Sus scrofa: one gene and its partner. Each later gene encodes a partner of the first gene's protein in a complex. Links are inferred from orthologs where the notes say so. Each region holds a gene or a part of one and is shown on either strand. Other genes may lie near its edges.

Region 1 (4,408 bases):
TTTGGGGAAACATTTTTAACTTTCACTGTGTGTCAGATTACATATATGATGAAATTAAATTATGAAGCATGAAACTGAACCAAAAATACCTTTATATTAAACTATTAATAGACCCCTAAATACAATATGGTTTTTAAAATGAAATCATGATACACAGCTGTATTCTTAAAGTACACAAATCAAAAGCTATACAACATCAACAGCAAATCCAAATGAAGATATTCCTCTGAATTTCACGTTTCATCGAGCATCAAAAACCACCACTGTATTAAACTGAGTTAAGGAAAAGAAAAGTAATTAAAGATTTCATTAAAAATTTAGCTCTTCCAAGTCACTTTCTCTTTGTGACATCAATTTAAAATACACAAAAGAATGAAATTCACTATTTACTATGATAATTAGAAATGAACTAAAAATAAACTAGTTAATTATTAGTCCCCTTTTCATGATACAAAAGACCAATACACCAAAAAATACTTAAGTGATGGTAAAGGTAAAAATTTAGCAATCTAAAAAATACTGTTAGTTACTACATAACAATTTACTTTCTACTAATTTGTAAGCCTCACTTTCTCCACTAGGTAATATACGTCTCAATATTTTTATTTCTCCCTGTATAATTAGTGTGTCCATGAACTAAAGCTCAAGAATGAGTACTTAAATATAGAATCCAAGAAAGATACACTTATGAAAACCAAAATTAACTAGTATTTAGATTATTTAGTATATGCCTATGTACCGGCATATTGGTCCATAACAATGCTAATCAAGCTTTTTTTTCCCCTGCCTTTTTAGGGCCGCACATGCAGCATATGGAAAGTCCCAGGCTAGGAGTCGAATGGGGGCTGTAGCTGCCGGCCTACATACATACCAGCCTCAGCAACTCAGGATCCCAGTAGCATCTTCGACCTACACCATAGCTCATGGCAATGCCAGATCCTTAACACACTGAGCAGGGCCAAGGATCAAACCTGCGTCCCTATGGATGCCAGTCAGATTCGTGTCCGCTGAGCCACGATGGCAACTCCATGCTTATTTTTTCACTAAGTAATCCAAGTTTTACCATTTTTTAACAGCTAGTCTTTGACTATCAACCCAAGCATTATTCTCCACTTCCTCCTACCTCATATTTAGAAAACACAGTTAAAAGGATACATCTTTTAGTTCTTTTCTTGTACATTATTCTGTACCCACATTCTCTGCATCGGATGGGATCCCTTGATTTTATTTCATTTTCTGTGTGACATTCTAAAAGAGAAAACATATTTATTCAATGCCTAAAAGAGAAATAAGAGGCAAGCAAATTATCTTAATTATACTTTTCCCCCAAAGCACTAAAATATGTATACTAAATCTCAACATTATCAACATATTAAGGGAAAAGAAAGAAAAGAGTGGTGGGCAACGCACTTTTTCTAGGAGAGAAAATGAAATCTTAAAATAGTTGCTAAAGCGCTAACTTCAAAGAGGAAGGACTCAAGTAAAATAAAGATAAATGCACTATCTTTTTAAAAAACTGAGGTAAAATACTTTTATTTTATGTAAGTGCCACTCTTACCTCCACAGATATATATCATTGGCTGCTGTTTTGGGGGTTGAACGTCCTTCTGTGTGTCCATCGTTATCCCTGAAATCACAGATTCAAATACTGAACATCTTAAAGGGGCCCCTCACAAATCCAATCATGCCTTATTTTTCTCAGGGAAAGCTAAAAAGCTAAAAAGTTCCCAATTCCTAATCCGTACTTTTTAAAAATCCTACCGCTGGTTCTAAAGAATGAATCAAACCCACAAATAAGCATTTTGCATTTACCCCCAAACTGGACTCCATAAACACTTTACAGATTTCATATTTACACATGCTATTTCATTATAATCTCTACAACAATTCTAGGCGGTTAAATAATTACTCTTAATGAACAGATCAAGAAACTAAGATTTAGGGAAGGTTAATTTGGTCAGGATTATTCAGTAGTTAAAAGGCAGAGGAATTTAGATCTGACTGCGAAGCTCTGGTTTTCATTTAACACGAGTACAAGTACTATTTTTCTTTTTCTTTCTTTTTCTTTTTTTTTGTCTTTTTGCTATTTCTTTGGGCCGCTCCCACGGCATATGGAGGTTCCCAGGCTAGGGGTCGAATAGGAGCTGTTGCCACTGGCCTACGCCAGAACCACAGCAACGTGGGATCCGAGCCGCGTCTGCAGCCTACACCACAGCTCACGGCAACGCCGGATCATTAACCCTGCCCTGAGCCAAGGGCAGGGACCGAACCCGCAACCTCATGGTTCCTAGTCGGATTCGTTAACCACTGCGCCACGACGGGAACTCCAATTTTTCTTTTTCTTTCTCTCTCTCTCTTTTTTTTTTTTCCACCCGCGGCATGTGGAAGTTCCAGGCTAGGGGGTCCAATAGGCCTGACAGCCACAGCAACGCGGGATCCGAGCCCCGTCTGCTATCTATACCACAGCTCAAGGCAACGCTGGGTCGTTAACCCACAGAGCGAGGCCAGGGATGGAATCCGCATCCTCAAGGATACTCATCTGATTCAGTTCCGCTGCGCCACAAGGGGAACTCCCACAAGTGAAATTTTCCCAAAATTTAGCAAGAAATTGCCAAAAAACTATACCCCTCAACAGGAAAACATGCGAACCGAAGAAAAGGGAAAAATAATGAAATAACTCCTAACAGCTGAAAAGGCAGACAACCCAACAGCTAAACAAGCCAAAGGGCTAACAGCATCGACTCCATCCCCAGCCTCTCTCGACTCTAATCCCACACCGGACCTCCTGTAACCCCTAGTATCTTTCCAGTTTTGGCCCAAACACTCACCTTCCAATCCCAAACCGCCAATCCGCCAAACCCCTACCCACGGAACACGGAGAAACTTCCCGAGGCTCCCTAACAGATTCCTGAGGCCGCTGTGTGTCAGCCCACTTCCGGCACTGGCAGATGACGCAGGATGTAGTCTCCGCCCCTTCCGCCCAAGGAGTGGCCGAAGAACCCGGATTGAGCGCGGGCAGTTAAATTGGAATTATGTATGTTTGATTCGCTCTGTAGAGGTTCTTATTTGGCTCCCAACTATTTTCATTTTTCGGGGAGGCAAAGAATTTTAGCAGTTTCTCAGGTCGAAGGAGGTTTGTTTCTATGACAAATGAAGGCCGCAGAAAGTAACAGTTTTCCAAGAGGTCAGAGCGTTAGATACCCAAGTGAAGTGCTCATGGAATCCCTGGGCTGACCGTTACTCCAAAGAACGTGGAAGTATCGGTTTCACCGCTGATTTCCACGTAGAAGAGCAGTTTTCAGATTATGGATTTCAGATCGTTTTAATACCTGTGCCGCCGGCAGTGGAACAGCCGCCTCCTGCCCTTTGCATAATGTTTGCTTTTCGACCCTTTCTCACTTAGGTACCTGTCATCCTTCTCAGCCTCTCCTTTTACTCGTTTTAAAGCACAGGCGGACTTGCAGGCAGCTACATCCAACTACTGCCACTTAAAGCTGAGGGATTTAGGTAGTGGTGGCTGTTTACCGACCCTCCTTTGGTCCCATGTATTCTCTAGAAGAACAAAACGACCTGCTCAGTGGAATCCTTTCAAAGATCAAACTATTAGTGAGACATTATCGTTGGATGTACACATTTACATTCGTTTGCTTCTTTCATAGCAGGCATTTTACTAATATCAGAATGAGAGGAAGAAAATGAAGTTGTTACAATTTAGAAAATACATATTCGTTATCTATTACAGTTAATTGGAGAAGCAGGTTTCTTTCTTCCCAACATGCATTATTTTGGTTTCTTATTAAGCAGGCAATACTGCTCTCTGGTCTTCCATACGGAAACTTGGGAACTTTGAGCTTCGCATTACACTTCCAGGAGGAGTTCCAACTGCCGGCACCTCCACAGACCAACTTGAGAGATTTAACTCAATCTTCCCAGTCTTCTTAGCTCCCTGTTGTAAAAATTTCAGGAAACACAGTGGAGTGTCCTGCTTCTTCCTCCACAGACAGGCTAAGACAGAACATACAAGTATTTTGACCATCTTAAAAAATATCTCTCCTGTCAGCCAAAGGGAAGAGGTAACCCAAAAGAAGAATCAAAATAAGCTTTGCTCCAAGAAGTATTAGATAAAACCATTGTTATCATAAGAGAAAGATTATGGAGTGATCCAAAAAGTATAACTTTAATCATTGCAAGCTGACCTGGATTCCAACTCTCAAGCTTGAGATTTCAAGAAGATGCTGGCACTTAATGCAGTCTATGGAGATCAGGAGGAATTAACACATGCAGAATACAAACGGCTCCTGGGACCCTACAGAGGGGTAGAGTAAAGACAAGTTGTAGCAAGGAGATCCAGAATTTCAACAAGAGTTCATGTTGGGGCTAGATCCCAATCCAACACTCTTGTTCCTAT
Region 2 (4,538 bases), on another chromosome or scaffold:
AAGTGATAGGGAAGAAAAAGAGGTGAAAGGTGAGGGATTCCATGTACAAACAGTACTACTTAAATAAGGAGGTAAAAAGTCCTCTTAAAATGGTAAGAAATTAAAGACATGGGTTAATTTAACTTTTCGGGCCAATGGTCACTTGAATATTACATGAATTACAAATGGTGATGGAATCATAATTTTATATAATAGTATAGGACAATATGATTTCCTATGGTCTTATCTCTTTCAGTGTTCCCAAAGAGGCCACTGTGCAGGGAACTGAAAAGCAACTGATCTTTCTCAAATCTTCTTTCAGGAGCATAAGTTTGACATTTTGTTTTGCTTTGCTTTTTGAGGATCAACTCCCTCACTTGTCCAGACTGCATTCCATGTCACTCGCAATTCCTAGGGACAAGAAAATTAGGAACTGTTGAGTTCTGTCTTCTAAACAGAGTATTCCGTTTTGCGTGAAATGCTGATATAAAGGCGGGATTAGCTTGGGCAGAGCAGGTCAAACGCCTACTGAGTTGCCCTTGAATACATGGCCATTTTCTACCTGCTCTCTTGCAGCCATGAGAGTTGATGGGTCAAGGGCAAGTATTCAAGATGTTAGCACGTGCTGAACATATGGAATCACTGAATTTTTGCAACATTTAAAAAAAAAAAAAACCAGGAAAAGTTGTGCGGTCATAATCCAGGTGGTGACCTTTTTTGGGGGGTTAGTTTTAACATTTCTACCACCTTGAGAAGTTATTTGAAGTAAGTGGGCTTGGAGAGGCCGGGACTCTGGGGAACGGAAATTTAAAGAGACTTTGTAGTTGTACTGATGGAGACAGACAACTCTGCTGGCTTCAGGGATTATTAATTGTGGAATGTAATAATATGTAATAATTGTTGAATGTAGTAAGAGGGGAACCAAATCAGTTCCCTTTCAGGAACTCATACACAATTTTGCAAGCGAAAGGCCCACCCTCAGCAAGGCGTGCTAACGCTTCAGCAACTAGGAGTCTGACCTTAGCTCACGCTCGGAGATGACTCCGCACTTAAAACTTTTGCCGGAAGCCGGGCCACGTGACCCGCCCTTTTCCACAGCCATGCCTAGCGGGGCAGCCGCCAGAGCTCCTACATTTCCTAGCCCCTCCAGCGTGGGACAGCTCAGAATCTCCCGACAGGAGGCGGAATCAGCTAGGTTTCGACTCGAGCGTCGCCACAACTCACGCTTTTCTCCAACAGAGCTTTGCAAGTTCTTCATCCCAAAACAGCAGCCGGAGACTTCCGCCTGGTTGCCGACCACGTGATCACGCGACATTTGGGGAGACCGCGGTCGGACTTCCCTACTTAAGTCCCCGGGTCCCGCCCACACAACACCCTCCCCTGAGCGTGACGACGCGGCTCGCGGCGGCCTCCGCCCCGGCGCGCCTGCGCACGCGGCTCTCGCGGTGTCTTGCGCTCAGCCCCGCCCACCTCTGCCCCCGCCCTTTCCGCCCCTCCCTCCCCCTCCGCCCTGTCTCTCGGCGGCAGCGGCGGCAGCGGCGGCTCGCGCAGCTCGTTGGCTCACTATATAAAGGGAGAAGCGGGCGGACCGGACGGCTGGAGCTGCAGCCGGTGGCGGCAGCGGCGGCGCGGGGAGCGGCGACCAGTGGTGGTTTCCCTCCTTGGCGCGGGGTGGGGAGCGGGCAACGCCCCCCAAACCCCAGAAGGGTCGTGCCCTTTTTTTTTTTAAGGGCGATCCTCGAGTTTTTAGCTCCGGGAGGACTGCCCCCTCCTCTTCCTCCCCTCGCCGATCCCCTCTAATCCAGCAGGATCCGATTTTGTTTAAAATTCCCCCCCCAATTTTGCGGTGGCTTGGGTCACCCTCTGGGTGTTTTTTTTTTTTTTTTTCGTTTTGTTTTTATCTTGTTTTCTCGGGGCTTGCCCCCCTCTTGTTTGTGTTGTGTGTGGAAATGGCGAACTCGGCAAATACAAACACCGTGGTAAGGACGTGGTTCGGTGGCCGGCGGGGGCTTCGTTCAGGCGGCAGCAACGGCCGGACCGGGCGGGGGCGGGGACGGCGGCGACTCCCGGCCTCAACTCTCAGCTGCCCGCGCGGCTGCCGCCGCTGCCGCCGCCGCTTCCCGCCTCGGGCGGAGCGGGCCGGGGCGCGGGGCGGCGGGCGCGGGGGGGTGCCGAGGGCTCGGGGCCGCGGCGGCAGGGAGGGCGGGGGTGCCGGCGGGGCCTGGAACTGCCGCGGGGCGGTCCGGGCCGCTGAGGCGGTTGAGGCCGGGATGAGCGCGCGGCCCTGGCCCCAGACCCCATCCGCCAGGAGGGAGGGCGGGAGGGGAGCCTCCGCTTCCTCCCCGAAGCGGGTCCTGCCGCGCTGGCTGGAGAAGGGCTCTCCGAGCAGCCTCAAAACAAAAACCGTGTCTTGGGAACTGGGCGAATCCCCAAGACCCACCGCGATCCACTTTAACGCAGTGGAAGGCTAATGGCTACTTGGGGGTTACTTTGGGTGTTGTGGCGGGTTGTGCTTAGGAGGCTTCACTGGGGCCATTTTACGTTTAAGAAAAAAAAAAAAAAAAAAGGACGAAGGTTGAAAAGCACTTATCTCGGTTCCTTCCGAATCGGTAAAATGGCGAAGGGGAAGCAACCCCCCCCATCGTATCTTCGACTAGCAAAAACACCAAAACAAACAAAGCTTACAGTGGTCAAAGTGCCCCCACTTTCGCCTCGAAATTTGCCTACTTCTCACCGTTTGTCCCTTTTTTCTTACTTGCGATCACGTAGGTTTGCAAAAAGCAGTCACATAAATAACCTTTTCAGTCACCAACGCAATGTGATCACTAGTCCACCCCACTCTCTTATTTTTATTGTGACAATAAAACACGTTTTTGCCCGGTCCCAAATGCAGACAAGCCCGCGGCCGCCCGACTCCGTACCGTTGACGACTCGGGTCGATCCATCATGGCTGCGGCCGCTTACCCTGCCTTTCAGTCCCTGAGCCTTGTGGTCCTCCTCCCTTTGGCTGCCCTGTTTATATAGAGCCATTGCCGCTCTCTAATATAGACTCTGCCAGGATGGGAAGGTGCTTTTCAGGCCTACGTCACCGCCTCTCCATTTAAACACCAGATCCGGCTTTAAATAGTGAGAGCTGCTGAGAGCGGGGCTGGGAGGTGCGTGCTCTCGAGGCGAGAGGCAGGCGTGTGTAGAGCTCAATTTATTTCCAAGTCCTTTCGTACTCTAATTTCATACCCAATCGGGGCTGCTTTAGGAGCCCTAAGTTTTTGTTTTGATGCAGCAGCTGGGACTTAACCTTTGTTAGGGGAAAATAGAATTGCTGTCCCTTTTTATTTTGTGTTTTGTTTTTAAAGAGAATTTTAGCTTAGATGTCTTAATTGTTCCTGTATTGAGAAGATGCATGCATTATTTTTTTTTGTTTTTTGTTTGTTTTTGAAAAGCTTTAGGCATTACCTGTTAGCTGTAGAGGATTTGATTTTGGTAGTGCTTTGTTTATCAAGTATTCAGGGAATGTTAGACTATAGCTCGTAATACTTCATTATTTTTCCTATAATAAATATTTGAGACACGAAGCTTTTCAAAGTAGATAAGTATCTAAAGCTTTGACATAGGACCTCCTGTCAACAATACGTGTATGTATGGGATATTATGAATAATGTGAGAAGGCTTAGTGCAAACTGGGTATTCAAAAATTAAAATTCTAAGTAGACGGTATTTTCATTTATTTGCATGGTAATATGGTATCCAATATAGATATTAATCCAGTTTATTTTCCAATATTGTACTAGAGTCTCAAACTTTTGAAGAAACCCTTTAATCATTAGCTTATGCCACTGATGGCCCTTTAATTAAAGTTTCAAAGTTTGGACTATCTTGTTTTTGAAAAACAGGACAAACCTAGATTACTATGTATTTCATAAAAGACAAAAACTTTGGCTCAAGTAAAATAAAGTTTAGCATTTTAAATGAACTTGCTTAGTTCACATAGTGCCTATGTATTCACATATTTTTAATAACATCAGTATTTTGGACACTTTTTAAATTAATGAGCAATCCTGAATTACTCTTTATGCGTATACTTCTGAAGAATACACATTTCCCTTCCTTCAGCTGTAGTGCATGTGAATCTCTGTGGTCACTTTGCAAGTTAATTAAAGCACCTAGGCAAACTCTTAAAGTAAGATTGATTCATTAAGTAGGGAGTTCCAGAGGAAAGCACATTGTACCTATAAATGTGTGGATCACCAAGCAGATATTTTTAGGGGTGACTGACTTCAGAAACACTAAAACAGCATCTAGTTTGCTGAAAAAATAATTTATATCATCAATATAAGATTTATACTACTAATTTAAAATTATACTGGGGCTTTATAATGCCTTGGTTTAAATATATATATATATATATTTTTGTAATTCAGTAGTTGAATTACCATAGATAAAGTGATATCCATAGTCATATAGACTTTCCTCATTATGGAATCAGTGTTGAAATAAGGAGGCACTATAGAGATGCAGATTTTACACATGAATAATTTTATTCACAGAGGCAGATTTGGAAA

The links. The genes of interacting proteins can lie anywhere in the genome.
Region 2: POLR2K (region 1) and GTF2A1 share a complex: the UniProt entries of both Homo sapiens proteins name them as parts of the TBP-based Pol II pre-initiation complex. The link is inferred for Sus scrofa from reciprocal best matches to the Homo sapiens genes POLR2K and GTF2A1.

What each region holds. Positions count from the first base shown.
Region 1 is NC_010446.5:36,849,654-36,854,061, forward strand, and holds POLR2K (DNA-directed RNA polymerases I, II, and III subunit RPABC4), read right to left. Parts: upstream 2,970-4,408; 5' UTR 2,829-2,969; intron 1,628-2,828; 5' UTR 1,620-1,627; coding exon 1,559-1,619; intron 1,249-1,558; coding exon 1,156-1,248; intron 264-1,155; coding exon 241-263; 3' UTR 76-240; downstream 1-75. UniProt on the Homo sapiens protein: DNA-dependent RNA polymerase catalyzes the transcription of DNA into RNA using the four ribonucleoside triphosphates as substrates.
Region 2 is NC_010449.5:104,006,262-104,010,799, reverse strand, and holds the start of GTF2A1 (transcription initiation factor IIA subunit 1), read left to right. Parts: upstream 1-1,481; 5' UTR 1,482-1,928; coding exon 1,929-1,958; intron 1,959-2,900; exon of another isoform or gene 2,901-2,987; intron 2,988-4,538. UniProt on the Homo sapiens protein: TFIIA is a component of the transcription machinery of RNA polymerase II and plays an important role in transcriptional activation. TFIIA in a complex with TBP mediates transcriptional activity.